4 linked regions of the Schizosaccharomyces pombe genome follow. The protein of the gene in region 1 purifies or fractionates together with the protein of each later gene. This does not show direct contact. Each region holds a gene or a part of one and is shown in the gene's direction. Other genes may lie near its edges.

The links.
Region 2: the proteins of pre6 (region 1) and rpn501 purify together in Schizosaccharomyces pombe (affinity purification with mass spectrometry, with the first as the bait; one study listed by BioGRID). This does not show direct contact.
Region 3: the proteins of pre6 (region 1) and rpn8 purify together in Schizosaccharomyces pombe (affinity purification with mass spectrometry, with the first as the bait; one study listed by BioGRID). This does not show direct contact.
Region 4: the proteins of pre6 (region 1) and rpn11 purify together in Schizosaccharomyces pombe (affinity purification with mass spectrometry; 2 studies listed by BioGRID). This does not show direct contact.

Annotation. Positions count from the first base shown.
Region 1 is NC_003423.3:406,230-413,595, forward strand, and holds pre6 (20S proteasome complex subunit alpha 4 Pre6), read left to right. Parts: upstream 1-3,245; 5' UTR 3,246-3,266; coding exon 3,267-3,365; exon of another isoform or gene 3,366-3,425; coding exon 3,426-3,799; exon of another isoform or gene 3,800-3,828; intron 3,829-3,917; coding exon 3,918-4,224; 3' UTR 4,225-4,537; downstream 4,538-7,366. Other genes in the region: SDA1 family protein, read right to left, coding at 1-192; isopentenyl-diphosphate delta-isomerase Idi1, read left to right, coding at 639-762, 827-1,165, 1,222-1,448; cys2 (homoserine O-acetyltransferase), read right to left, coding at 4,891-6,405; rpl2501 (60S ribosomal protein uL23), read left to right, coding at 7,327-7,366.
Region 2 is NC_003424.3:1,263,120-1,270,909, forward strand, and holds rpn501 (19S proteasome regulatory subunit Rpn501), read left to right. Parts: upstream 1-3,149; coding exon 3,150-3,233; intron 3,234-3,280; coding exon 3,281-4,528; 3' UTR 4,529-4,661; downstream 4,662-7,790. Other genes in the region: chaperonin-containing T-complex epsilon subunit Cct5, read right to left, coding at 783-2,423; rsm22-cox11 tandem protein cox1101, read right to left, coding at 4,786-7,047; yip12 (SMN complex subunit Yip12/Gem2), read left to right, coding at 7,631-7,790. UniProt on the Schizosaccharomyces pombe protein: Acts as a regulatory subunit of the 26S proteasome which is involved in the ATP-dependent degradation of ubiquitinated proteins. Required for proper proteasome assembly.
Region 3 is NC_003421.2:387,783-395,241, forward strand, and holds rpn8 (proteasome regulatory subunit Rpn8), read left to right. Parts: upstream 1-2,911; 5' UTR 2,912-2,964; coding exon 2,965-3,015; exon of another isoform or gene 3,016-3,059; coding exon 3,060-3,983; 3' UTR 3,984-4,310; downstream 4,311-7,459. Other genes in the region: meiotic pumilio family RNA-binding protein Mpf2, read right to left, coding at 1-453; ggc1 (guanine nucleotide transporter), read right to left, coding at 920-1,436, 1,536-1,630, 1,752-2,042; ctl1 (choline transmembrane transporter family protein), read right to left, coding at 4,541-4,652, 4,704-5,243, 5,293-6,352, 6,390-6,402; ubiquitin hydrolase Ubp16, read right to left, coding at 7,101-7,459. UniProt on the Schizosaccharomyces pombe protein: Acts as a regulatory subunit of the 26S proteasome which is involved in the ATP-dependent degradation of ubiquitinated proteins.
Region 4 is NC_003424.3:3,004,693-3,012,807, forward strand, and holds rpn11 (19S proteasome regulatory subunit, ubiquitin-specific protease subunit Rpn11), read left to right. Parts: upstream 1-5,953; 5' UTR 5,954-6,286; coding exon 6,287-7,213; 3' UTR 7,214-7,615; downstream 7,616-8,115. Other genes in the region: cAMP-independent regulatory protein Pac2, read left to right, coding at 1,446-2,153; RNA polymerase III-inhibiting protein Maf1, read right to left, coding at 3,492-4,103, 4,468-4,566, 4,620-4,625; SPOM_SPAC31G5.21 (FAM32A family protein), read left to right, coding at 5,395-5,751; glycine decarboxylase T subunit gcv1, read left to right, coding at 7,901-8,115. UniProt on the Schizosaccharomyces pombe protein: Acts as a regulatory subunit of the 26 proteasome which is involved in the ATP-dependent degradation of ubiquitinated proteins.

The DNA of each region.
Region 1 (7,366 bases):
AATGAAATCGATTAATGAACAAAATTCGGAAATGTCTGAAGATGGATTAACAAGAAAAATTTCGCGCGCGGTTTCATAGTGATTCCATTGCTGCAAAAATTCTTCTCTGTAGGATTTTGGATCCTTTTTGACCAGATGTTGTAGATGAGGAAGATTGTTAGGTAAAACAGCAGCAGTGCGTCTTTTCACCATATTAATGTATCTTTGTGAAAATATAAATCATAAACTAGTACAAATAATCAATTAGTGTAGCAATACCAGTAACAGGCGAAAAAAGCCCTTAAAAAAATTTTTAACCGGGATATAATAAACAACCAGCAAGCCCAGGTCTAGCAATATAGACTGCTTATTTTTAATAAGTATTAATCAATTCTATTAAAAAAAGTGATAGACGAGTAAATGGGATATTGCAATCACAATTTATAACTGAAAAATGAAACAAAAAAATTAACGGTAGAAATTTAAGCTAAGAAGCAAATTTTCAATAATACTTATGTAAACTTTAGGAAAACAAACAGAAAGAAAAAAATTCTTGCTTTAAGTGAATCAGACTTGTTTTCCAATTAGTGTTGTTGTGGTTGGTTATAGACAAGCAATATTTTGCACCAGCGATAAAGTACCTGCTCTTTGCCTACTTTATGATTATGAGTTCCCAACAAGAGAAAAAGGATTATGATGAAGAACAATTAAGGTTGATGGAAGAAGTTTGTATCGTTGTAGATGAAAATGATGTCCCTTTAAGATATGGAACGAAAAAGGAGTGTATGTTTGATTGTTGGAGATTTATAATGAAATTGAAGGAAACCCATTCTAACAAGCCTTTTAGGTCATTTGATGGAAAATATAAATAAAGGTCTTTTGCATAGAGCATTCTCTATGTTCATCTTTGATGAGCAAAATCGCCTTTTACTTCAGCAGCGTGCAGAAGAGAAAATTACATTTCCATCCTTATGGACGAATACATGTTGCTCCCACCCATTGGATGTTGCTGGTGAACGTGGTAATACTTTACCTGAAGCTGTTGAAGGTGTTAAGAATGCAGCTCAACGCAAGCTGTTCCATGAATTGGGTATTCAAGCCAAGTATATTCCCAAAGACAAATTTCAGTTTCTTACACGAATCCATTACCTTGCTCCTAGTACTGGTGCTTGGGGAGAGCATGAAAGTATGTGGTTGATCCGTGTTTCTCTTTATTGAACACTTGACTAACGGACATTCTAGTTGACTACATTCTTTTCTTCAAAGGTAAAGTTGAGCTGGATATCAATCCCAATGAAGTTCAAGCCTATAAGTATGTTACTATGGAAGAGTTAAAAGAGATGTTTTCCGATCCTCAATATGGATTCACACCATGGTTCAAACTTATTTGTGAGCATTTTATGTTTAAATGGTGGCAGGATGTAGATCATGCGTCAAAATTCCAAGATACCTTAATTCATCGTTGCTAAAGTCTTTAAATTTTACCAGAGATAAAGAAAAATAGAGCTATGAATTGTGGTATGGCTTCCTTTTTCTCCTTTTGTTGCTCAAAGCATACATTTGTTTGGGTGGAAAAGTTAATATTAGATGTTCCAAATTTCTTTGCACCACACTTCTTCGTTCTTTAAATTTTTGCTTCAGTTTTTTTACTTCATCAATGTCTCCAAGAGCATATTGTAAATACAATTTTCTTATCTTTTTTATTTGTTGCGTAAATGAACCGTTAATTCGTAAATGTATTTTTAAAGGCTGCTCTTAAAAATTTTTTTGTTTGTTTATTAAAAAAATTTGAATGCTATCCTTTCTAATAAATAAAAACTGTAAATTCAAAAATATTAAGGATACAGGGTTATACCTTGTTTTCCACATTGCGACACATGTTTTATATATGTAGTTTATTTATTTATTTATTATTGACACTACATTTACCAACATTAACATCAAGCTTCAATTTCGCACAAAAATTCCCTTCAAATGCTTAAATCTTATACCGTACAAGTTACTTTAATCAGTTTATATTGGAGTACTATTGTTTACGGAAAGTAAAATACATCAAAAAAAATTTGATGCTTGAAAGTAAAAAAGATGCTCAGCATTTTATAAAAGAAACCCCGAATTTTAAAAAAGAATGGGAGCTATATTCTGCATGCAACTATACTAAATAACAGTAATGTGGTAATAGGAACTACCTGGTTTCAATTTTTTGAACTGATAAAATTTCTAATTAATATTTGACAATCGTTAACCTTTTATTCGTACGTAAATAGAATTTATTTGATTTGTTATCATAATTGTAAATCGCGATTCAACCGTGAGAAAAAACTGGAACAATATTTCGCTATTAAAGATATAATAATTGAATTTATGATGTTTCTGAGTAAAAGAAATTTTTTATTTAAAAAAAAGAGTTAATATTAAAAAATTTAATACTTCTTTTAATTTATCATATGTTTTATGAAGATATGAGATGTTTCGCTTTTTTAAGTCTATTTTTAAGCGAAGTAGTCCGTTTATTGACTTTTTCTTTTCGTCAGACTTATATACATAGCTAGATCAAATCTTACAATTGTGGGATTATTAATTGATTAGCTTTCATTTGATTTAGATCTCAAAAAAGATGGGGTTTATTTCATAAATGTTTGGCCTAATATTTCCTAAATTCACTTACTTTCGTAACTTAAAGGTCCTCTGTAACCAAGAAAGTAGAATGTATTATTTTACCATTAATTATTAATTCTTTTACTAATCATAAAACAATAACGCTGATTTTATATGTTAAAAAAAAAAATTTATAAATTTATTTTCAATAATATTTATTCTTGGAACAAAGTCTTTGCAACTTACAATAGTGCTACAATAGAGGCTGATCCATATTTCTTGCGTGATAACTAAAAAAAATTTACATATATATATTATATACAGTTATATAGACTCTTAATAAAGTTTCAGTGAATATGTAAGTGTTGGCACTATATGTGCTTATTCTCAATGGTCATTATGATATGGAGACAAATGGCGACAGCCACATATTAACTTATAATTTTTAATTAAGAAAAATATATAGAACATTCATACTAGGATTGAGACTTTTTACCTAAATCCAAAATGCTTTGCTTAAAAAGTCCAACGTTTTTATATTATAATTAACGAGACTAAAATTACCCACTATTCATCATAAACCACATACGAACTTCACCGCAACGCACTAAACAGCATTAACCACGACGCTAATTGCTTACTAGTTCGAAATCAGCAAAGCGAAACCTACAGATTACCAAGAATTCACCATGTCGGGATATGATCGTGCATTATCCGTTTTTTCACCAGATGGACGCTTGCTTCAAGTAGAATACGGACAAGAAGCAGTCCGCCGTGGTACCACTGCAGTACGTTGTAAACCAGAGTAGAATTGGATGGAATAAATTGCTTACATATATCATTAACAGATTGCTCTTCGAGGAAATGAGTGTATTGTAATAGGTGTTGAACGAAAGAATGTTCCTAAACTTCAAAACGTTTCTAATTTCCAAAAAATTGCTATGGTTGATAACCATGTTTGTCTAGCATTTGCAGGGTTAAATGCCGACGCTAGAATTTTAATTGATAAAGCTCGTGTTGAAGCACAAAACCATAAATTGAATTTGGCAGATCCTGTTTCTATTGAGTATTTAACTCGCTATGTCGCTGGTGTTCAGCAAAAATACACTCAATCTGGTGGTGTACGACCTTTTGGTGTTTCTACCCTTATTGCTGGATTCGACGTTGGTGATAACACTCCACGGGTTTACCAGACAGAGCCTGCTGGTATCTATAATGCATGGTATGTCCGTTATATGTTTCTGTAAAATCAGCATTGCTAGTTTACCTTTATGGATGCTTTTTTTTTTTTTTTTTTGCTTTCTTCCTTCCTAAGACCAATTTGTTAACAAAGAATATAGGAAAGCCACTGCAATCGGCCGTGCTAGTAAGGCTGCTCGTGAATATCTTGAAAAAAATTGGAAAGAAGGACTATCTCGCGACGAGACAATTCACCTCGCCGTTTCCAGTCTTTTAGAAGTAGTTCAAACCGCTTCTGGAAACATTGAGTTGGCCATCATGGATCCAGGCAAAGATGTAGAATTCTTGCATTCCGATAAAATAGACACTATTGTTAAAGAGATTCAAGATGAGAAAGAAGCTGAAGCTGCTCGTAAAAAGAGTGGCCGTTCTGCCCCTGGAGTCTCTACAACTTCTACGATTCAATAATGATACCTCTTTTATTTCATTACATGCAAACCGACTTAAGAATTTCTTGTTTATAAGGTTCATATGTCTTTTCCCTTTTGTTTAGAGAAGCCCTCTTTTCATAATAACATCACTTATGAAAACTCTTTTATTGTAATGATATTTTTTATTTACGGTGTTGATGAAGCTTATTAGGAGAATATGTTTTCGAGTCCTCTTTTATTTTCCTGCAAAAAGATTAGTTAAATGTCAAAGACACAATTACTCATTATTACAAATATTAGCTACAAGAATGTGAGTAGGTATATTAAAAATTATTAATTTTAACAATGCATACTGAAACTTTGGTAGTTACAAAAGGATTCTAGAAATCTTTTTAAACAACATGAATAAACAAGAAGCACTTTTTTACCACAGGTTTGTGATATTTTGAGTAATTGAATAGGGTATAACTGTTAAATGCCTATTCATTATATCCCTTCCACAAACCCTCAATTGAAGGGTTTCTTGTTCGCATTTTTGGCAATTTCCTCTAAAACTTCAACGCCTAAAAAGGTAAAGAATCTAAAAATATTACGAGCTTGAAGACAAAGCACTCAACATTATAACAAAAAAAACTTAAAAAAATTAAAAAATGACTTAGAAGTGTCGCAAATAATAAAGCAGAAAGAAGAAATTTTATGGACTTTAAGATAATTCCAAAAATTTCTTCAGTTTACCACCGACCAAATCAAGATCTTTGCGGTAAATTAAAAATGTGTCATGACCATAAAAACTTTCGTTGGCATCAAGTTCGTGATACACAACCTGCTTATTACCGGCTTTTTCCAGACAGCGAGCGGTCTCACGTTGACATTCAACAGGCATAAGGTTGTCGCTTTCGACACCCATGACCATAACAGGAGTATCCTTAAGGGGAGCCAAACCAGCTATCAAATTCGTTTCTGGATCGGGTTCAGGAGCACGGTCTTCGTTCGCTATCTCCTGATAAGGAACGTCAGGTAATACACTTGTATCTTCATTTAATTTTATTATTTCCTCAGCGGAAACGTCGGCACTTAGGTATTTGTCTAGTTTATGTTGATTCTTCTTTCTGTTCTCCGATAAACTACGCTGATGAGAGGCAGACATATCATGCATGTCCATAGCTTTTGAGATGTATAAAAGTGAGTTAGGGTCGTATTGCAAGCAGAATTTTTCACCAGCGTGATCCAAGTAGGTTTCAATAAGAAAATCGGGACAAAAAGCGGGAGAAACCGAAGGATCAGCACGTCGGTTTCCAAATCGTTGCTCCCACTCAGGACCAGAACGATAAGAAATAGTGGCGACTTCACGAGCTAATTTCATACCGGTGTGAGGAGGGACACCATCATAATAAAAACCGCGATTCCAGTAAGGGTCATTCATGAGGATTTGGCGCTGAGTAAATCTCAATGCAATTGAATAGGGGTGAGAACGAGCTCCACCAGAAATACTAGCGATTCGACCCACGCGATGAGGGGCCAATGCTCCCAAAGTTAAAGATTGCATACCGCCGAGAGAGCTACCAACACTAGCGTATAACTTTTCGATTTTAAGATGGTCCAAAAGAAGAAGCTGCGCTCTAATCATGTCATTTACAGTGATGATTGGAAAGCGAGTGGCATAATGCTTACCATCACCAGGGTCAACAGAAGATGGGCCCGTACTACCGTAGCAACTGCCAAGGACGTTTGTGCAAATAACGAAAAATTTATTGGTATCAACATCTTTACCCGGTCCGATGAACTGCTCCCACCATCCAGGCGCCGTGTTTTCAGGGTGTGAATGAGCATGAGAAGATGCTGATAAACCGGTGTGTAGAAGAATCGCATTAGAATGATCTTTATTCAATGTTCCCCAAGTTTCGTAAGCTATTTCAAATTTCGGCAGAATACCACCATGATCGCATAAGAAGGGTTTGTTGTGGTAAAATTTTTTAAAGCCTGACACAATTTTACCGTAAACAGGCTCAGGACCTGAAGAGAGTGACGGGGATGTGATAGATGCGCTAGGGTCTACAGAGTTAGGACATGCCTGCTGTTTTTGCAGAGACTGCTCGAATTGTCTGCTACGCTCCTGTGCTTGATCTACGCAAGGAAATGACAATTGTGGGTTCGAACTTTGAAAGCGACGAAACACTTGCCAAGATAGTTGTAAACGCTTACTGGAAGCTCTCAACATCCTTGTGAAAAATTTTAAGGTGTAAATTACGCTACTGCGAGTATGAAGGAAAACTGCCAAACCCTCGTATATAAATTTATAGCACAATTACCAAATCAGTCATACCGATGTCGCAATTTTCCTATACCGTTTTTCCATCATTAGGAATATGTGGGGGGAGGATTAGTAAAGTTGTTACCCCCTTAATTTCTTAAATAATTTAAACCGCCGGAGTTGGCAGATTTCGTAAACTCGGATTTACATTTCATATTAGTGTGTAAGCGTGGTATTCTTAAACGCTACATTTAAAAGTGCACATTTTTCGATGTTTGTATCAATTCCTACATTTGAGTTGGTTTGCTTTGGATGGCCAGGCGCTTAACTTGGCAATGTTTTAAAAAAGGTAACATCTGATTTTTTTTTTATAAAAAAAAAAAAAGGAAAAAATAACCAGATAAGGATATACAAAAAGTTCTGTATTAATGTTTAACGTATTTTACTGTATTGGAAATAGGCTTGATTTGTCATGAAAACGCAAATGTTTGAGTTAAGATGATAAAAGACGCGAGTGAAAAAAAATAATATATATCATTTTCCGTTTTTATAAAGGTTCCTTTTCTGTTTTAAGTAAAAATTATGGAGAATTGACAGCGTATTGTTGTGCGTTGCTAATAGAAAGTGGAGAAAGCATAAGTTGGCACGCGTCGATATAAACATGCGTGGATTAACGAGAAACGCTATACGTTCAGCAAAGTACGTTGTACAACGGTAAATTGTATAAGCTATTGTCAAAACGCGTTTTATAAACTACTATTAGAGGACACGCCTGACTGCACTTTTTATAGTAGGGTAGGGCTGGACTGCTTTTTTGAATTCCAGGACATGAAACTTTTCCGAATGATCTGTCACGAGCAACAACCAACTCTTAATTGACAGGACATCATGAGCGTTGCTAAAGCCAAAGGAGCACAGAAGACCGTTC
Region 2 (7,790 bases), on another chromosome or scaffold:
TTTAATGAAGCTTCTTCCAAAAAAGGCAGTGACTTCGATAAAGCTCAAGCTCCTTTAATTTCAACTTCACGCTGAACTTAAAGGCAGTATTTGCCGTTTAATTACAGGATTTTACTGAAAATCAGCAAATCGTAGTCTTTTGATGTTCTTTTCTTTTGTGTGGAGGTTGGTTTGCTTTGCTTCTTCACCCCTCTTAAAAAGCGTCGGATTTGGTCCAAGCTACTACACTAAACCTCCTTATTTACAATGAAGGAAAGCAAAGGAACAAAGGTTGATGAATACATTAATCCAATACTAATGGATTTCTGTGCGAAAAGACTCAGTCTAGATTAGCGAGAAATGTTAGGAAAATATCCTCGCATGGCTCAATTAAGAAAACTGATATCATTTTGCCCAAACTCGGCTTTACAGGTGCTACCAGAAGCGTTTTTGCGGAAAAAGTAGCCGACGATTTCCGTCTTGAGCGCTGATGTATTTGGTCTATTTGTACAGCTTTATGGAACAAATCATAAACAGAGTTTAGTATAAAAATAATGCCATAAACAAGGTTAGAGTGTCTGAAGGCTTTGAAAAGCTCACAATCTCTGAGTAGGTAAAAATACTATTGAAACTGGAAATACGGACTCAATATGATGCTTAGTAGAAAAAATTTATATATATGCAAGAAATTTTTTATTTTGACATAAGTACACAGAATCACCATTTTATTCAAAAAAGCACATGCTTGCCGTATGAAATGAAGTAAATTAAATTTCCTTTAGCCGTGCGGATGAAAATGCCATTTAGTTATAGTCATCATCCTTAGAACCGGCAACGATAATATCGTTAACTTTGAGTACCATTCTGCAAAGCTGAGTAGCAAGAAGCAGTTGTTGTTTCTTTCCAATAAGAGGATCAATAACAAACTGCTTTCTCATATCATTACTTCCGGTCTGCAAACAGTCAATACCAAGATATGCCTTGTTTTCTTTTACATGACGAGCTTTAACTGCTGTAAGAGCTTCGATGGACGAAAGGCCACTGTTCTCCGCGAGGGCAAGAGGAATCGTGTCCAAAGCATCTGCAAATGCACCCATGGAATATTGATCAATACCAGGAATCTTTTCAGCTTCTTTGGTGACAGCCAAAGAGCAAGAAATCTCAGCAGCACCACCACCATACACTACTCTGTTGTCACGTATCAGATTACGAACGACACAGAGTGCATCATGCAAAGCACGTTTCGCCTCATCGACAATCATCTTATTGCTTCCTCGTACAAAAACGGTTACGGCTCGAGAGTTGGCACACTTTTCTATAACTAAAATCTTATCACGAGTCGTACCAAACGACACCTCTCTCACTATACCGGCTGAACCAAGCTTATCAGACGAAAGATCCTCAAATCGGGGCACAATTCGTCCATTTGTAGCAATAGCAATCAATTCGATTTCGGGACCTCCCACCCAACGTACAGCCGGTAAATTATTTTGAAGAAGTAGATGGTTTGCTTCATCATCAAAACCCCATTGACATATAACAAGGTTAGCTCCTGCGTCCTTTACATGCTTAATCATTTCCTGAAATTTTTCCTTCTCATAAGCTTGAAGGGCTTCAAATTCACTCACTGATGTTATGTCCAACTTATGCTTAGTTTTTGGCTTTGGTGGTTCAAAAGGGCAGGTTAAAATAGCAATCTTTGCATTTTCAATACGATGAGGCATTTGTGGATGCGACATGTCTTTGTCCACCACAACACCCTTTACAAGCTTTGTATCATCCACTGAACCACCAACCTTGCCATCTACTTTAATGAGTTCAAAATCAACATCTTTTCTCTGCAAATCAGCAACAGAAAGGACCGCGTCCACAGCAATGTTTGCAAAGTGATCATGAGCTTTGGAAACCACTTTACTACCCAAACTAGTCTTAGCAGAACGAAATAAATTAGTAGTGTTTTCGGGACTAAAGTCGACAACATCTGAAATAGCATCTAAATGTTTAACAGCCACCTGGCATGCCTTTTCGTAACCATCTGCAATCCTTATAGGATGTATACCTTTGTCTATAAGTGCCTCGGCCTGCTCCAGTAATGCACCTGCTAGTACAACAACACCAGTAGTTCCATCCCCAATTTCATCATCTTGAGATTTAGACAACTGAACTAACAGCTTTGCAATTTGATGTTCAACCTCCATTTGGTCGAGGATTGTAGCACCGTCATTGGTAACCGTAATCTCTCCATCTGGAGAGATTAAAATTTTATCCAGTCCACGGGGACCCAAAGAAGTACGCACAATATTAGCAACTGTTTTGGTAGCTAATATGTGACTTTTTACAGCATCAATTCCATGCAATCTTCTCTTCTTTTCCTGGTCACGTACTAAAATGAAAGGATTTCCTTGATCGTCACGGACCATAACAGCGTTATCTAGACCGGCCATTTTGCTCATCTTGTTATTGTGAACTGTCGATGCAAATGAATTTCAAGTGATAAAACTGAACGCTACACTAACCCAAATCCTTGAAATACTTTTGAACGATTTCACAAAGAACCTTATCTCTTACTTCCCTTTAAATCGTTGAAATAACTTGAGGTTCAAGCTTAGGGTGTATTCTTTAGAATGTCGTTGAAAGCACGTCTAATATGTTGCGGCCCTTCAGCATTTTACGAACTTCTATAGAAGAAATAAGCACTATATTTCACTAATGTAAGCTACGCAGTTTGGTATCTGATTTAAGGATACGTAGAACTGCGGTGAGTTTTCCTTGTGGTCTATTATATTACAATACACAGGTTGTATAAGTAGCAACTGAGTATAGGTATTGTATTAACTGAGTTATAATGTTACCTATCACTAATATAGCTCATAACTGAACTGAGGAACGAGGTTCAGTTGTAACGCTATTTATAATATTTCTAAATAGTTGTTATCAACGGGTATCTATGTATATAGACGGATAGTTACCCGTGATTATCAATAAACGGATCTTAGCTAGTATTCCAACATATGACATATAGTGATACGCAACGTAGTGTATCATAGCGTAGTGTACTATTGCTGACAACTAAAGTATTTTGCGAGCGTGCGTTACAACTCTGTAATCATAAGAAATCAACTCGCAATATTAGTCTCAATTGTACACTCTCCAACAACCCACATATCGAAATGGAACAGAAACCGGAAGTTGATTACTCAGAGAAGTTTGCAGAGTTACAAAAAAGTTTAAATAACCTTAATACCATAGACATCGTACGTAAAAATCAAAATTTTGACTAATCTCTAACTTGTAATTGTAGGATGCGAACCTCGAGAAGCTTTTGATTTTTGAGAAGCAAGTTCGTCAGGCTTCTGACACCAGCACGAATACGAAAGTATTAATATACATTGCTGATTTGCTCTTTCGAGCTGGTGATTTCCAAGGCTTAAACGAACAGTTGGTTAGTCTCTTTAAAAAGCATGGCCAACTGAAACAATCGATGACAAGTTTAGTCCAACATGTAATGACCTATCTTCCTGGAATTGACGATTTAAAAACAAAAATTAATTTGATTGAAACATTGCGTACTATTACTGATGGAAAGATATATGTGGAAGTAGAAAGGGCACGTCTTACACAACTGCTTTCCCAGATTAAAGAAGAGCAAGGTGACATCAAATCTGCCCAGGAGATCTTGTGTAATGAACCAGTAGAGACTTACGGATCTTTTGATTTGAAGGAAAAAGTTGCATTCATTTTGGATCAAGTTAGATTATTCTTACTGAGGTCTGATTACTACATGGCATCTACTTACACGAAGAAAATAAATGTTAAGTTTTTTGAAAAGGAAGACGTCCAGTCTTTAAAACTTAAGTATTATGAGCAAAAAATCCGAATTGGTTTGCACGACGATGCATATCTTGATGTTTGTAAATATTATCGAGCAGTTTATGACACCGCCGTGGTTCAAGAGGACCCCGAGAAATGGAAAGAAATATTAGAAAATGTCGTTTGCTTTGCCTTGCTTACTCCTTATGATAACGAGCAGGCAGATCTTCTTCACCGAATTAATGCTGACCATAAACTAAATTCTCTTCCTTTACTCCAACAATTGGTTAAGTGCTTTATTGTCAATGAACTAATGAGATGGCCCAAAATTGCCGAAATCTATGGAAGTGCTTTAAGGAGTAATCCTGTTTTTGCTGAAAATGATGAAAAAGGTGAGAAACGTTGGTCTGAACTTCGTAAGCGAGTCATCGAACACAATATTCGTGTAGTCGCAAACTATTATTCCCGCATTCATTGCAGTCGTCTAGGAGTGTTGTTGGATATGAGTCCTTCCGAAACAGAACAATTTCTTTGCGATCTTATTGCAAAGCATCATTTCTATGCCAAGATTGATCGCCCAGCTCAAGTCATTTCATTCAAGAAATCTCAAAATGTGCAAGAGCAATTGAATGAGTGGGGTTCCAATATTACTGAACTTCTTGGAAAATTGGAAAAGGTAAGACAGCTTATTATAAAAGAAGAAATGATGAATTCTATTCAACAGGCGGTAGCCAAATAAATTGTTCCGTCTCTATTTCATTTCGTTACTTTCATGACTTTGTCATTTAAATAATATACTATTGGTTCAAAGGCCTTCAACTTTTTTTACGAGAATACAATAGTTTTAATGTCGAATTGCAACCTCGGAGAAAGTTATTCTAGTAAGTTTGTAGTGATTTTCGTTGTTATTTGTCTCGTAACTAGAAGGTTAACTTGATGAATTATTTTAAATAAATTATTGTAGTTCACTCAATATGTAGTCCCTTAATTTTTATTTCAGTTGAGTTTAGTTAAAAGATTGCCATTGGTATCATATCTGGCCTCAAAAAAAGTATAGCTTAGAAGAATATCGTCAATATCCTTCATATTTGGATCATCAGCAAATTCTGGATCTATAAAGAAAAACACAGGCAAGTCTACTTTTTCATGAGCATCTAGCTTTTGCTCTTCAAAGCAAAAGCATGCAACCTTTGAGAAGTAAACAGCGGCTTGACCTGGTACTATATTATAAGTTGCAACTCCTACTATGTCATGGTCGGACGTATTTTCAGCAGTATAAAACCCTAGAGCAGTCTCGCCTGGAAGAACATATATTTCACGCTGCTGGGGCCAAAGCTTCCAGCTAAGGTTTCCTGCAACGTCGCCATTGAAAGTAACTCTGATTCTTTTATTGTCTTTACGAGGAACCATTCTTTCTGCATTCATACGACTTTGGTCGGTATTAAGAGTGCCACCATAACCTGTTTTCGAACAGAAAAGACGATATAAAGGTACAGCCGCATATGTCAAGCCCAACGCAAAAATGGAAATTGCAACCAGATAATAGATAGTGGTCCTTTGATTATAGTGGAATTTATCTCTCGAATATTGTCGTGAATATTTCCTGGTACCAGAGATGCAATTGTAACAGCTAAATGAAGTAAAAATACAAGGGAAACGATGTGAATTAAAGTCTGCAAATCGAGAAAAAGCTTTATGACGATTAGTCGAATAGAATCGTTTTCCGACAAAAATAGGATCTGCAGTTGTATTTCTTTCAACTTTGGGTTTATTATATGAGGGGGGATTGATTGAATAGGTAGAAGAAGCATCTTTTAAATGTTTAGTAATTTTACTACTTGGAGAAGTACTTTGAACTTTGCCCTCTAACGGAAACAAGTCGCCCCAAGCACTTTTCCTAGCTAATCGATAAGCTAGTTTACCTTGTGATTTAGGAACAATATTCCTTCTAAGCCGAGCATCGCTATCACAGACATCAATTATGACATGTCCATCTCGCTTCAGTGGAGGTCGAATTATACGTGGCCAGTTTTTAAGAGTTGGAGATGTAACATTCACATTTTCTAGTAAATCCTCATCATTCTTGAACCTTTGTGTGGTATTATTAAGCGGTCTAGTTATACCCTTTTGAATAACAACATAACTGTAATGAGAGCGATCCGAGGATCGACGATGAGAACGAGGGACATATAGACGGGAAAATGGGGATAGGAAAAAATGTTGTTTGAAAGAACAAATATTTGCTCTTACCCCATTTTCTATATCAATGGGGCAGCGACCATCGTGGGGACAGGGTGCTACAATATGGGCATTGAATTGTTTATCAGAAGTATTTTTACTTTTTTGCAATAGAAATGTTCTAGCTCTTTGAATCAAACTAAAGCCACGCTTTGTGCCTCGCTCGCAGAGCACCAAAAGACCACCATCATTTGACACGAGACTCCAAAGCGAACGAAGATAATCAAAGAGTTCTTTCTCCGATTTCATTTCAAGAAGCTTGTTAGATGCAATAACTAGAGTGTATGAATCCTTTTTACCCAATGGTAGACGGTTAAGCGTAACAGGGCTAGTTGGATTCGGCGAAGTTGACGGGTAAATGTTATGGTGAATATCATATATGATTTTTTTCAAAAATGGGTTCTCCTCAACAATTGAAACTGAATTAGGTGTGGGAAAGACTGAATAACTAGCTAGAGCACCAATACCTGGACCTTTACCGCAATCCAGTATATGTTGAGACTTGCAAGACACATCACTGTTTACAATTTTCAAGTCAGTCAATACGCTGTATAGAGAAGCATATTGATACGGCATAGACTGATGAATATAAGCTAAAACTTGGGGATCTGTCATAGTCCGAGTAGATTCATCTTTGAATGGCGCAGACAATGGAAGCTGAGATTCCGTAGCCAAATCTTTTTTAATATCATTAATAAATTTTTTAATTTGTCCTTTTTCGCTCTTTTTCAATAAATCGTCCACATATAGATTAAATTTTGTATGCAAACTAATATCACCACTTTTCTTTTGATCCTTTACCAAAAAGTCGAGTAAACTGGAAGCTTCTGGACGATGTGAAGAGATCAATTCGTTTTTATAATCAGAAAAGTTGTTTTGAACAGCTTGAAAATTTGCATTATACCACCTAATGGTAGTGGTTGTTCCATATGGTATGAGACATCGCTGATTTTGAAAAGTAAAGCAATTCCGTAAATTATAAAGAAACAGAATTTTATATCTGCATGTTAGAATGGGCATATGTGCTGCTCAAAACACCAATTCACCAATGAACAATGGGATTTGGGGATAAAGCACTGATCTGTATATTGTGTAGAGTAAGTGCCTGATTAAGTGGCCGCAGATGGTGTTACTTGCGTTGACAGAAGAATGAATAGTACAATTTCCTACATATCTATATGTTTTATGTTTATTAAATTAGTTCAAGGATAGGCAATTCTGTCTGAGTGAATATTCTCCCAGTTTTAGCTTCTTATACACTTCAAAAAAATGCAAAACTTTGAACTTCTTTGAAAATAAGAACAAGTAATAAATTTTATGATAGTAAAGGAATTATCAAGAAATAGCTAAAATTAGTTTTAGCATTACACTTGATCAAGATAGACTCTTCACATTGATAGTTCTACAGATACCTCTTTAACCTTACCATTCTATTATACTAGGGTAATCTTCGATTTACGAAACATTCCTTGTTAACTAACTACAAACGAAAAGTTGCCGGAAAAAAACAGCCTACATTCCTTGAGTATTTTCATGAAAATTCGGTAATTCTTTTCCATTTGGTTTATATGAGAAGTTTGCAATTGTACAATAATAATTCAAAATGCCCTCGAAAAGAAAAAGAAATCCTTTACAATATCAGACTTCAGGATCATTAGATGAGGAAACAAATCAACGCAGCGCTTTTCCACAAATCGACAACAATAGTGCTTCAGAATCTTTGGAATATGATATACCACTTGATGGTTTAGATTATTTAGCAA
Region 3 (7,459 bases), on another chromosome or scaffold:
ACTTGAAACATCAGCCAAAGCAGTTGCCGAAGGAACAGACAAAGAATCCTGCAATGACATGCTCTTAGGAGCTGAAGTTGCGTATACTGCATGCTTTTTAGTCCCAACAACAGGTCGAACTAATTCTACAGAAACAGAGGTAGATGGGTTATGAGCAAATGCATCATTTTGAGAAGAAGCCCCATCAGACATGATATTTGCATTAGACAAGAGCGTTTGTAATTCTTCAATATGTTTCGTTTTGGTACACAAATCTCTTTTCTGATTGTCGATCTCTCGTTGTTGACGTTGAACAACAGTGCTTAATGCATGGAGTTTCTTTGTAATATCGAAATAAGATTCGCTTTCACTAACATTTGAAAGTTCATTTAATTCTGACTTGGAATGCTCCAGCGATTCAGAGATTGAATGATTTGCAGAAGTCGAAGGTAGCCTTAAATCAATTGACTGCATAATAAACTCTATAAATAAAAACTAATATTTAATGGATATGGTTTTTTCTGTTCTTTCGGAAATTGGATATTGGTGGATGAAGAGTTGCTGACACCAGGCTATAAATATCCAACCAAAACAAATAGTGTTTACCAAGGTAAGTTCACTCAGAAAAATAAACAATAACAGAAACAAACAAAATAAACAAAACAAACACCAATCGAAGTAATATTTGAGAAAATAAGTAGATTAAGGACAAGTATATCTAAAAAAATTAAAAGAAAAACAAAATATTTGTTAGTATTTTTACAAAGTAAAAGATCAATAACAGTCTCAAAAAAAAACTTTCTTCACTTTTGAATGACAAAAACAAAAAGAACCAAAAAGTAAAGTCTTTCAAAAGATTACAACCCCAATGAATTATTTATATAGAAAAACAGAGCACACTCAACAATATTTCAACATTGAAATGAAGAAATAAAGCATATTATTTCAAAAGCTTATCAAAGAAGGGGATAAGGGTTTGAGCCATGGTAAATGAAAAAACAAGCTTAGGACCAGTTGTCAACAATTTGGGAGTCAACCCTTTAAAGAACGAGGTAGGTCCTTCGAATTTAAGCATATTTTTCAAAATAGTAAACCCGGATTGAGGGTTATCAAAATTCTTATTTTGAATACGAGTTTTAATAACATCGAGAGGGGCAGAGACAATCAAACTAGCAGAAGCACCAGCGATTGAGGTGAAAAAATTTTGAAAAAAAGTGGCTTGAGAGTAATCCTTTAGTTTAAATATGTACTCCTTAGCAAAAGCGTTACCACCAAAGAGTGCAAAAGAACCTGGGGCATTGCGGGCGGCAGTCCATCCCCATCCACGATACAACGCAAATTTCTCATCAGCGAGAATTCTGAAAACACCGCGACCTTTAAAAGCTGCAGGATTGGTTTGGCGCTTAATTTTCAGGACGTCTAAGGGAAGGAGGAAGATCTCTCCAATTCCAACGATACTGAAAAGTTAGTAAGCTATACACATCTTGAATTCCCTTTTCAACAATCTTAAACATAAGCTTTCAGCTTAGTTAAACAAATATTCGACAGATACATACCTTCCAGCAGTAGCATGCATAATGGCTTTTCCAGATCCCTTTCCAAAAGTTTTATCAAAAGTATGTCTATAATTTTCATTCAAAAAGTCTTTTACCTGAACATGTTAGTAAAGATGAACGAGTATACTGAAGCCAACTGCGATACATTAATTCCGCCATCAAGGCTTGGAAAAAACGTACGCTTTAAACTACCAGTATAAGTACTCTACAACATACAATTGGTTGACCGCTATATTTATAAATACGTTGTACAATTTTGTAGCAAGCAGCATAGCCCAAACCAGGAAAAAGAGAGGTAGCCTTTTGGAGTAGAGGAGCAGAGGCAGCATCTCTGAAAATTACAGTGTTAAGTTGAGTTAAAGAAGTAATTTTTCCATGATTTGACATCAAACGCTTGGAAATTGTATCAACAGGATGAAAGAGTGAAAGTTCGAGAATTCCGGCAGATGCTGATCCCACAATTCGAGCGGTTTGCGACTCTTTGTTTTTCAACTGAACAGGAGCCATCTTTCTCTATCTATTTAAAAATTTAATTAATAACCAAAAAGTTTCGTTGTGTTGAAAAAGAAAAGTTAAAGGATTTTAGTGTAGTGAACTTTTATTGAAATTTTTTTCATTTTTTGATAAGAACTGATAGCCTTCGTTTTAGAGATAAGATGAAATATCGTTGTTCTCAAATAGTGATCTATGTTTTTCTGTTAATATTTTTAAACGTTTGAAATAATTCCAAAAACACAAATCCTATTAATGTAAGTTTGCAAAAAATCTCATGCATATGGCTTTGATGAAACGTGTGGACATACAAAATATCTGAATTCTAACTGTTTCAATTGCTTCAGACGAAAACTTTTAAGAACGTTCTTACTGAAAGTTTCTTTTACTTGTTTCATCGTAAATATAGTCATCGAACAGATATTTAATGAACTTTTGGAATGCGTCTCACGTGTATTTCGGTTTGATTAAGTAGTTAAAAGTGATATACTATGCTTCAAATCGAAATACCAGCATGTAATTTGATATGCAAAGTATTTCTTTAAAAAAAGAGCAGATGGTTTCAAGATATGTCTTCAATATTTAATGTCCATGTCTTTTCAGAATTTATTTGAGTAAATTACGTGCAATTACACGTTTAACATGATTTAAATGTATAGCTCTTCAATCCTTTCTACATATGAGAGGGAGTGTAATATAATTGCCATTTAGTAGCCTAATGGAATGATCATTGTTTAAAGCATTGTTATATTACAGCGCTTAATAGGTAGTTGGGCATTTGAAAGTATCGTAATATTTCTGTAATGAACTATGTCTTAACTTGCGGTAAGTAGGAAACCGCTGCAGCATGTGATGAGAGGTTACACGCTTTCAACCTTTCGTTTGCCATACACAGTTGAAGTTGTGAGAGACAAATTTTTAATATAAACCGGTTATAATGCCTCCTGCAGTGAGCTCTGAAACCTCTACAATCGTCCCACAGCAAGTTGTAAGTAGAAAATTTGAGAAACTTTTTTATTAACCATTGGTTAGATTGTGCATCCATTAGTACTTCTGTCAGCAGTAGATTCTTATAATCGATCTGCCAAGGGAACCAAAAGACGGGTCGTTGGTATTCTATTGGGTCAAAATAATGGCGACGTTGTAAACGTGGCCAATAGTTATGCTATACCATTTGAGGAAGATGAAAAGAATGCATCGGTTTGGTTTTTGGACCATAATTTTATGGAATCAATGAATGAAATGTTTAAAAAAATCAATGCAAATGAAAAATTAGTTGGCTGGTATCATACTGGACCACAACTCCGACCCTCTGATTTGGAAATCAACAACTTACTTAAAAAATACATACCCAATCCCGTTCTTGTCATTATCGATGTAAAGCCCAAATCAGTGGGTCTTCCGACTAATGCCTACTTTGCCATTGATGAAATTGAAGACGACGGCTCTAAGTCCAGCAGAACTTTTGTTCATCTACCCTCCAGTATAGAGGCAGAGGAAGCAGAGGAAATTGGTGTTGAACACTTGTTACGTGATACTCGTGATGCATCCGTTGGTACTTTAGCGACAAGAGTTACCCAGCAGGCACAATCTTTACAAGGCCTTGGGCAGCGTCTCACTGAAATCGCAGATTACTTAAGGAAAGTCGTGGATGGGCAACTACCTATAAATCATGCTATCCTTGCCGAGCTTCAGAGTGTGTTTAATCTTTTGCCTAACATTTTTAGCGGTCCTGTGGTTTCAGAACAGGCCTTGGAATCAGAGGCACAACGTGCTTTCAATGTGAATTCCAATGATCAGTTGATGTCCATTTATATTTCCAGCATCGTGAGGGCCGTGATTGCTCTTCATGATCTTTTGGATTCTTTGGCTGCTAGTAAAGCTATGGAACAGCAGGACATAAAGCCAACTGTTCAAAATGGAGAAGTTTCGGCTAATGCCGAACAAAAGGCTTAATCACTGTATTCATACTATCCATGTCTGGCTTCTATCATTTGTGGACTCCTCTTTCTGAGATTTAACGACTTTATCTAACGTAGGTTTTTTATTTCAATGTCTAAGTATCATAGAGTTTTTATTTATATCTTGTCTTTTCGCAGACAGTTTTGCAGATATTTGTAACCCTCTTAACTTGTAAAAGTTACACGTCGGGTTCGGGTTTATTTGCTTGTATGTTAAAAATGATATGTCTACGTTTGTTAAATTGTATTTACGAAGGATAAAAGTGTAATTTTAAGTTAGTACGAAGAAATTGCATACAAAATATCATATTTTAATTTACAGTGATATGATGGATAGCTTGAGAAAAAACTTTTCATGAAAAGAAATCCTAGCAAACGCCAAGGTGTCAATGTTAAAAAGTAGGCTGACATTATATTAATGAAGTAAAAGGGAATAGGGATACGCGTACAGGTGACCAGCATCTCTTTCTTTGAGCTCTTTGATGAAAGTAGGTTCTAAGGAAGTTAAAAGAAACAGAAAAACAGCAAAAGAAGTAATTCGCATTTTTGGTTTTAATATCCATTTGATTCAAAAAGCTGCCATGCCTCGAAACAGTGAGAACCATTAGGATCTCCTTGGCAGCTAGAAATATCGATAATAGAGCATATAAGTAACGCATCCACACTGTGAAAAAGTTAGTATTTTACGCGAGGATAACTAAATATAATTACTCACATCATGCTGAGGCCGCCCTCTATGGCGCCAATGATAAGCCAAGCAAGGAATCCGCCTAAAAGTCCTACAATGTAGCCATAAAAGACACCATTTTCATGAATGGAATAATTCCACGAAGTAACGCCAACTCCTATAGCGAGGAGGGAACGAGCGGCTAGCAAAGTGTATTTAGAAAAATAGTAGGAACGTCGGCGTAATCCTACTCGGTTCAATTGTTCGATTTGATACAAAGCCTTGGACGCATTCATGTACGGGACTGAGTAAATTGATGCGTATGCTAGGGTAAGAGGAGATGTGACATACGAAGCAGACGTCTTTGAAAACATATAATATACAATACGCGAAACGTGTCTTAGCCATGTGGGTAGGAAATGCAATGGTACTTTGGTGATAACAACTAAAAAGGAAGAAAAGGCACATAAACCATACTGATTGGAAACAACGTGATAGAAAAAGTGAGAAACTAAATTGGTTTTGGTAGCCGAAGACTTAGTATCACGATAAAAAAACCATTGAGAAACAATTGAAGAAATAATAGCGCTACAATTGTGTTAGTAAAAAATCCGGCCAAAGCAATATAATAACATACCATTGAAGAGCATGAAAAAATGTGCACAACCATAAGAAATGAAGTGAATAAAAGGAGGCCAAGACCCAAGAACTTCTCGGCAAAACCCATACAGAACCAACAAGGGTAGAACCGCGCAAAAATAAGCGGGCAAACAATCTTACCCATATAAAGATTAAAACATAAAACGAAAACAAGAAGCTGATGAATATTAAAGTGATTTGAGGAATATCAGCTATAACACGACAAGCAAGCCGAATAATATTAAAGGAAGTTTCAAAATGAATACGACGCCGCCAAACATAATATGAAAGCAGAATGGGTGCAACAAGCAAAATTATCCCAGTTAATAGCATCAACTTTGGTTGAATTGACGTTTCCAAGTGGATCCTAGACGCTTTTAACAAGTAGACAGCAAAAGCAAACATGGTCAATGGGACCGATGCTAGCAGGAAGTACAGAAAACGAGGAATTGCGACAAGACAGAAGAGCCATATAACTGAAAGCATCATACAAATAATCGCATCTTTATGAAATAATGGAAATGCTTTTTGTATTGCTGCGTAAGGAGAAGTGGCTGGAGGAATATTAGGATTTGTCCGCCAAACCATCAGGAAGCTATAGGTAAAGAGAGCCAACGTCAAAAATCCAAATGTTAATCCCCATTTTCGATCTGGAACCTTCTGTTCTGATGGAAGATGGGCATCATAAGGTAATTCCGTATATTCTTCATTTACGCTTTCATGAGATATAGTCTGTGGATTCGGTTGAACACCTAAATTTTCGGAGAAATTTCCATTGTAAATAGAATTCTCTTTAGAAAATAACTCGTTTTCGTTCCTTGAAATATGAGAGTTTGACTGCTCTTGTTCTCGTAATTGCCAATGGATAGACCCAGAATCTATCAAGGAGTTCAAACCATGCAAACTCGAAGACCCGGCGCTCAAATCAGTCTCATGACTATCAATTGAGCTATTTCTGTCTATGCTAACACTCTGAAGATTCGATCTTGAGGTAGGATATTTAAAATTGCGCTGGTCAACAGAAGAGAATCTTGATTGTGCAAGAAAACGCGAAGCATCTACTCGTTAGTGTAACTTTCTTCTATTACTACTTACAATCGCTAAACATAGATTTGCTTCACGTATATAAAATCACTTTACTAGTCAATTTGAAGGAGTTTTGGAAATTGGTCGTTGGGTGCAAAGGGTTACTCATTCCTCTCCATTGAAATCTATATGACGAAGATGGTAGCACTTTGTGGCACTAACAAATATATCCGTTAAGCTTAATTGGAAACCTTCTACTACTATGAATTTAATAACCGACCTCTACATTTGCAAAAATTGCAATTAAATGTTTTTGCTAATACGATTTACTGTCGTTATAATAGAATGGGTATCAAGTATGTTTACATTGAAAATAATGATCAATTTCTTCATAAAAACGATAAAGGAGAAGAAGATAACTTCAGGTACTTTAATAAAATGCAATGCCTACGGCTAAAGCCTAAGGAAGAATTACCCGGTTCCGTAGGAGATAAGCATTAAATCCGCTATAATTCAACAGAAGATATGTCAAAATAAAATTATCATTTTGACCAACGAACTGATTTAAAAGCTAAAAAGTTGCTCATTTCAGTCTTATGCAATGCAGCGGTTTAATTTACAAAATGATTTCTATAAAAAATCGCTGTTTCAAGATTAAAATGTTCTACGTGCAATAATATTATACCATCAACCTCTAAATAAGAGAGACATTAGCATATTAAAAAAAAAGATAGGCAAAAGGAAGCAAAAACTTTAACTGCTCAAGCTAACTGTATCGCATTAAAATGAAATTTTTCTCCGTTTTTTATTAGAAGTTTTGGTAACCGTGTTTTCGGTGTTTAGCTTGTGTTTAGACGATGAAGTTGATTTCCTCTTGTATTGCAAAATATAGGCCTGTTGATTCAAAACTCGATCAATACTGGAATTGGAAACGAAATCATCGTCAAATTTAAGCCAAACACCATTACTACTTTTGCAAAACGAATAATAATGGCCGCTTCGGGTACTTCCGCCTGCATGTACAAGAACCCCAATTAATTCGTACCAACAAGAACAATTGGGATCTGACATATACGGACCGAGATTGAATGATTCAGGGTATGAAATTTGCTTACTGATTTTGCTAGATTGGAAACCGT
Region 4 (8,115 bases), on another chromosome or scaffold:
ACCGGTCCCTACTAAAGAATAACAAAATTCAAATATTGGAAAGGCAGGTTTTGGTTTTGAACGCAGTTGTTGGATTGAAAATATATTCCATTGTACTTTGTACTTGATAATCAAAGTAATCTTGTTGTTGATCATTAAAGGCGTATCAACAGTGTTGGGGAAAAAGTTTACCTTGAATCTTATCTAGCAGCGGAAACTAAATAATTATATTTATTAAATTGTTAGACCAGCCTAAAACTATCGGGATTAGCGTTGGGTAAGGGATTTACGGAATATTTACCGTATTAGGTTTTTTTTGAGTTTTAAAAATTTAACTCGCTAACATAACCGAAGCCTCGCACATATAAACTATCTTTCAACCTACTTGACTCAACTTTTCCTTCACCAACCGCAGTGTTGCATTAAGCAGCAAAACGTTGTCACCTTCGAATAGCGTCTTTTTGACGAATAAAAAGGTTGGACAACAAAATTAAATTAAGCAAATTTGTGTATAAACTAACAGCAAGTGAAGTTGTACCGGTTGTATGATTGAAGCATTGTAAACCAAAGAACAGCTACTTTGCCTTGTCGTACATTAGCTTTTTCCTTTGCAAAGAACTTTTAGGGACCTTTTTTTACCACAACTAGAGAACCGGTGTAGAAAGGTGTTCTATTTTAGTGAACGGATTCGTTTAATTTTTTCATTGAGAAAAAAATTTGATCTATCTTGATTTTTTCGACTGTTTCCATTTTTAACTATTTGTGACGTTTCTTATTGCCAAATTTCAACCTTGAGCATTGTTAAAAAAGCTGAATTTAAATTTCTTTGCTTTTAACATACAAGTGAGCTATTGGGTTTGTAAAGATTTAATACTTGATTGGAAGTTTTTTTGGTCAAGTCTGTTTTTTTTGGGTGTTTTTTTGACGATCAGTTGAAACCGCGAATAATAATATTTATTATAACTCCCTAAAAAAAGAAAGAAAATCATTTATTAAATAATTTTTACTTTCCTTCATTGTTTCTGAATTTTGCTTCTCCCTGCCGTTTAATTGTTTCATTTTCTTTTAGAAAGTACTAAAAGGTAATCAAATCGGCTAGTCTTGCAACTGAATTTTCTTTGAAGATAATATCTAGATTTAATTTTTCCCTGCTTGAATTTCCTAAGATCTTGCGTTCGTTCGGACTGAATTGCATAATTTATTGAAGGTCTCCATTCCTGTATACTTACTCGACTACCCATTTATCGGTCAAGCTGTATATATACACGCACAGTCAACTTATCTTCTACTTATATTTATAAAACTATTTATTTTATTTCTCTTTAATCCGAGCTTCGTTAGTTGATTCTTTTGATCTTTGCATTGGTAACTAATCCAGTGCGCTTTTTTTTTTGAATCTTCGTGACAGCTATTTTCTGATTTTACTTCATCTTCAAACTACGATCTGATCGGCTTTGCCTTTCGTCATGCAAACTTATACAGGTATCATTAAGACCCCGTTGGATGCGATTATCCTTTTCGAGGCCTGTCGAATTGGTCTTCTTCCACGCGTCCAGCGTCGATTGTCCGACCATGAAAGAAGCTTGATACGAGCAGGCAGTGTTTTTGTGTGGGATGAACGGGAAGCTGGAATGCGCCGTTGGACTGATGGTAAATCATGGAGTGCTTCTCGTGTCAGCGGTTCATTCTTAACCTACCGAGAAATGGAGGGTAAACGTAAACCTTACCATCACGGTCTTTCCACCGATGGTTCCCTTAAACGCTCTCCCTCTGCAGATACGACTGGTAATAGTTCCCTAAATGCTTACAGCAATGAGGACAGTGGAGCCGCGAGCTTGAGTGATGAAGAGTCGGTTGATGATGAGAACCTACGGGGGTTGCATTACAAACCGAACGGCTTAATTAAGCAGTCCTTTAGTATTACTACCTCCTTAAATCATAAACTTCACCTTATTTCCTATTCTTCGCCTATCCCTGATCCTTCATTAGTCACGCCAAGTAGTGATGTTAACCTTTCACGTATCACTATTCCATATGGACTGTATCCAGACGCGGGTCCACCGCTTGTTCAAGCACCAAAGTTTCTCGCTCCTTATGATATTCTTGTCGAGAAAGTTGCCTGTAGCGAAGACGCGCGCGTTTTGGATAAGTTGCGTCAAGCCCTATGGCTATAGGTTTGATCTTTTTCTTCACATTGGGTCCTACTTCTCGGTTAAAAAGTGTACTAAATTTACTATAGATTTCATTTGCATCATATATGGGGCTTTAACGACTCCCAATCAATCCTAGTTTCCTGTGACATTTTCTCGGCTGCGTTTTCGCTCTTACTAATCTGCGGCTTTGTCTATCAGCGTCTAATTTATGTGGTTGATCAATTTTAATTTCAAGTTACCACTTCATTCTTCAGCACTTACGGCAAGTGATAAAAACAGAAAGCTTGTTTTGATTTAATTCATTAACTAAGTAATCGCTCAACTGTCTTGCAAATACGTTTTCTGTTCGTCGGTTTAGATGTGTATCGTTATCATAACTCTTTAGACATTTCGCTTTACGCATTATTTTGTTTCGTCTGCGAATATCGGAAATGTCCTTTTTAAAGAATCTTTTGTGGTTATTTCATCAATGCTTCCTTTTTTCTCTTTATTATTTATTTCTTTTCATGATGGAAATGGTTAAGTAAACGTCTATCATGAAGCACGGTAGAACAAGTATTCAACATTTGAATTATGCACTCAACATTTCTATTTTTTACTACTCAACTTAGAGCTCATGTTCGGGTAAAATGATAGGAAAGCATCAATTCTTAGGGTAATTTGAATTCCTTAAATACAACTACTATGAAATTAATTCTTTATCTTTTAAGTAAATGCATAGCTTTTATTTGTTGTAAATGAAGTATTTTCAAAGAAAAGGTAATTTTTAAATTGAATAACTGAATACATCATTATGCTATGTCAAGATGATGCTTAATAAGGCTTCAAATATTCGGGAACTTGATGTGAACGTTTAAAGATAGTTAGGCTCAGATGATTAATGAGGACAGATTAAAAAATTTTCCTCTAAGGTCAAATTGCATGTACAAACCTATGAAACAGTTGTTGGAAATTTTTTAATCTATTATGTATAAACACGTGTGTTGCAAGAGAGTAGAAACCGTAGTACAGTCTGGAAAATCTTAACGTACAAATCACATGTGAAAAAATAGGTTCCTTAAAGGATAAAAAACAAAAAACAAGAAGTACCTAAAATGCTGGGGGCATATTTTTTTTTTCAAAAATGCAAAAAAGAAAGGGTTGCTATAAATAATTTGAAATAAACTAATTAACAGGGAGATATTAAAGAAAGGTGAGGTTTCATGTATTTACAATTAGAAAAAACAAGAAAATTTCGAAAAGTCATGATTCTGAAATAATAAAATGAGCACGGTGCAATTTAGTTTGCGAGTTGAACAAAATGTAAAGAGAGAAAAAGAGAAAGTAGCAGAAACCATTACTTCCCAAATAACCAAAAAATTAATCATCCATGTTAGCAACCCAATCGTCATCAAAATCGCTTGGCTCTGCATCGTCCGCAAGTGGTGTAAACACAGAATCATCGTCATTTCCATAACGATTCCGACCCGAGACTTCCTTGCCCAAACCATGAAGTGATAAATAAAGCATGCGCTTCATATTTTTGTTAAAAAAAAAGTAGGACATCCCCCATATTAAAGCATCATCGCCGTAAGGATCGCTGTCGCTATCTGGAGTATAGGAATAAACGCTGCAATCAGACAGGTTGATATGACGGTCGATAATTTCCCAAATTCCATTCACACTCAATCTACCACGACCAATGTTATTAAGTGTAGAATTAACGGAATCTACAACACGAGATAGTGAAGGCTCTTTGTAAAAATCTGTTGGTTGGAGGCTACTAAAATCATGATCGGGATAAGAGGCATTAAGAGTAGCGACAATGTACATAAAGGTACGACGAGAAGAGGACTGATCAAGAGGCCCAAATGGACTTTGCTGAGTTAGGCTGAAAGCATATTCCGGTGATTTACTACTCGATAATGCAAATAGATCCTCCTGACACCGATTCTCTATAGCTTTAAAGAGTTTCTTGTCAGAATTTGTACTCTATAAAATTGTTAGCACATTTTATATATCAGTATATTCATGTCTTGGTAAGTTAATAAAGCAGAATGCTCCCGAATCTAAAAACAGACACTCAGACGCGGTACTCCATTTGGTAAACAACAATCGTAATCATTTTGGTTTCAGATTTGAAACGTAAAGAAACTAAATAAATAATCACAAAAAAAAACAATGATTATATAATTAGCTGATCTTGTACAAGAGACCAAAAAGAACCAAAATTGTTCAACTTAGTGATTTGACCACGCAAGAAAAGAGGATCATTATTAAAAGCATATGTCAAATTCAAGAACCAATGTACAATTTTCCCTTTACCAGACTAACCAAGCTTACAAGTTAAATTTACCTTGGTTGTATAGAGCTCGCACTTTCCGCGTATGCGACAATCATCGGCATCAAATGATAAGGCATTATTGACTGTATCTAAATCGGCAAGCTCAAGAAACTGGTCACAAAAACAGGGTTTAGTAAGACAAATAAAAAGTAAAATATATTTACCTTCATAGTAATTGTAATGTAATCAATTCAATTGTTTCCTTTCATTAAAAAGAGGTTTGCTGTGGTTAGGTATCAGCGTCGCGTCCAACGTCAATGTCACTTCTATTAAGGGTACGTTAATCTTAAATAACAGACTATAAGCTAATAGTAAGCGTAAGGAGTTTGTTAGATGTCGGTTCAACATTTTACCGAAGCTTAATATATTTGAGAAACCATCCCGATGCATTGCCATTTATTTTTTTATGCTGTTTTAAGGTACTTAACCGTATAATGTGTTAAAGTCCAAGTCGAAATGCATTTATTTATTCATAAAAATAAATATTTTAAGTAATTAAAAGGAGTCTAATAAAAACAAATCAGTTTAAAAATATCGATTATAAGTTTTTCCGTATTTTTCTGATGAGCATTGAGTAACTCAATTTTTCAATATTCAATTTTTTCTACAATTCTTAAAAGAAACGGTTCAAGTATCATTATTAACCAAAAAAAAAGTAATAATAATTTATTTAATGAATAATCGTCGCTTCTAGAGTATACTTGTACAATGAAATTGTACATATATATACATATTTTTTTTAAATTGAGCCCATTAATAAACTTGCACAACATACATCAATTCTTTTATTGTATTACTTATTACACTTTTACTATTAAATTATATTTATTTTATTTTATTTTTAAATTCAATTCCTAGTGTAAAATGTATTAAACTGTTTCACCTCTTATCGTACAGTTCAAACATTTTGCTTACACCAACTTACCTTTACCAAGAACTATGGACTACGTTGGTGGTTCTCTAAAACTGAAAAATGTAAAAAAAAAACCTTTGAAAAAGAAAAAGAAGGATTCTAAAAAACTTGCTGAAAAAGTTCAAGAGCATTCTTCCCGAGATAAATCACCTTTAGAAGAAAATGGCGTATCTACGTACCAAATGCTTCGCTCAAAGGATACAGACTCGGCTATGCCGATGACGGAAGCACAGAAACATTTTGAGTCTGTTCAGGAACAAAGATTACTTCAGAAAGCAAAGAATGAGCGATTGAAAACACATAAAGACAGGATTGATGAGTATAATAGACTACTGGAAAGTCAGTCGGAGCATTTTGACATGCCTAAAATTGGACCCGGCTAGTTTTCAAAACACGTCCTTTTTTCTCTCAATAGCTATACTTAAATAGCAATGGATGCCTCCTCTATTCTGCATAGTTTTTCTCCATCCACCTACCATATTCTTTTATGAATTACGCACTCTAATGAAATCACTATTTTATTTTAACAATACGCATTATACCTCATTATTGTTATAGCTATTCATTTGTCTCTAGAAAAAACCTGTTTATAGCCAACTACCACGTAAACGTATACTAGCTGCCTAAGTGAGACCAAAGACATAGAATCTTGTATATTCGTTTTGTATAGTGGTTGAAACATATAGAAAGAACTTCCTTTGAAGAACAAGCACATTATAGTGACCTTTGATTGTTTTTGTCGTCTTACTAAATATCAGTGAACAGCATTAACGTTTTGGTAACTTTATTTAAATACTTATACTGAGTTTCTCATTTAATCTCCAATTACACTTTTATTTGCGGTTATTTGAGAGGAACCCCACTGATACTGATAAACTCTCATATTTCAATACATACATACGAGTCATATTTTTCGCGATGGAATCTTTACAAAGATTGTTACAAGGTGCCCGCATGGGTACTGGTATGATGGGAGATCAGCCTCTTGTTGATAATTCCGAGTGTGTATACATTTCATCTCTAGCTTTGTTAAAAATGCTTCGTCATGGGCGACATGGTACACCAATGGAAGTTATGGGTTTGATGTTAGGAGAATTCGTTGATGACTTTACAGTACGTGTTGTTGATGTTTTTGCAATGCCTCAATCTGGTACAGGTGTCAGTGTAGAAGCAGTCGATCCAGTTTTCCAAAAAAATATGATGGATATGCTTAAGCAAACAGGACGGCCAGAAATGGTTGTAGGTTGGTATCATTCTCACCCGGGTTTTGGTTGTTGGCTTTCTAGTGTCGATATCAACACCCAACAATCATTTGAGCAATTAACACCAAGAGCGGTGGCAGTTGTTGTCGACCCTATTCAATCTGTCAAAGGAAAGGTGGTAATTGACGCCTTTCGATTGATTAATCCGTCTACCCTAATGATGGGTCAGGAACCCAGACAAACAACTTCCAATTTGGGTCACATCAACAAACCTAGCATTCAAGCTTTAATTCACGGTTTAGGAAGACATTACTACTCCCTTCGCATCAATTACAAAAAAACTGAGCTTGAAGAGATCATGCTTTTGAATTTACACAAACAGCCTTGGGCACATGGTCTTTTACTTGAAAACTTTAATTCTGCTGCGGAAAAAAATCATGCTTCTATTGATAAGATGAAATCCTTGTCAGAACAGTACACTGAACGTGTTCAAAATGAAGTGACTTTAAGTCCGGAGCAACTTCGTATTCAATACGTTGGTAAACAAGATCCCAAGAAGCATCTTGACGCTGAGGTTCAGAAATGTATAGACAACAATATTTCTTCCATGTTAGCTTGTATGCTTGATTCCGTTGCCTTCTAGTACATCTATTTTGGTAATACCTCTTTTCCATCATCCGTTTTTTATGAGCTACTTTCTTTCCTTACTCAAAGCATTTATGAACTGTTTGAATAATCCTGTTGGTCGAATCTGATACTACTTTTTTACGATTTCATATTCGTGACTAGGAGTACATTTTTTTTAAAACTTTTTACATGATCGTGGAGTATGATTGATGATATTTTGGTAAGCTCTTGAGATTGCGAGCGTTTGCTTTGATGGATTCTTATATATTTTTTTTCATAGATCCTTAAGATATACCTGCACACCAGTCTTTCAAGCTTCTTCCCAATAAGAAAAAATTGTTTCAATTATTGAATTTGTAAACATCTTCTACCAACATGTTAAAAATTTTGTTTCCTTGATTGTTTGTAATGTACCTGTAAGGATCGTCGATCAGCGTCAAACCATTGAAGTTGAATACATAAAGGTATAACTGAGGCTACTTAATTTATTATATGACATTTTAGCGTGATATGATTTTTTGATGTAGCATGATATTGTACTTGTCAAGTATTCCTATCTATCTTTCAACCTTTGCCAACCACTAACGTATGTTGGTTTACGGAATCAACAAACAATTGTTTATTAAGAAGTTTAACAAGGTTTCTTTTTTATTTTCAACGTTTAAGACTTGCTCCAATATTTAACTGGTTTTTTGAATTCATAATGAATAGATCTGCTGCTTTATCAATCTTAAAGCGCCAAAGTTCTACGGCAGCTTCTTCTTCACTCAAGAGAACTCCTTTATATGATCTGCATTTAAAAGAAGGAGCTACCATAGTCCCCTTTGCTGGTTTTTCAATGCCAGTACAGTATAAAGGTCAAACCATTAGTGCCAGTCATAAGTGGACACGGGAGCATTCTGGCTTATTTGATGTAAG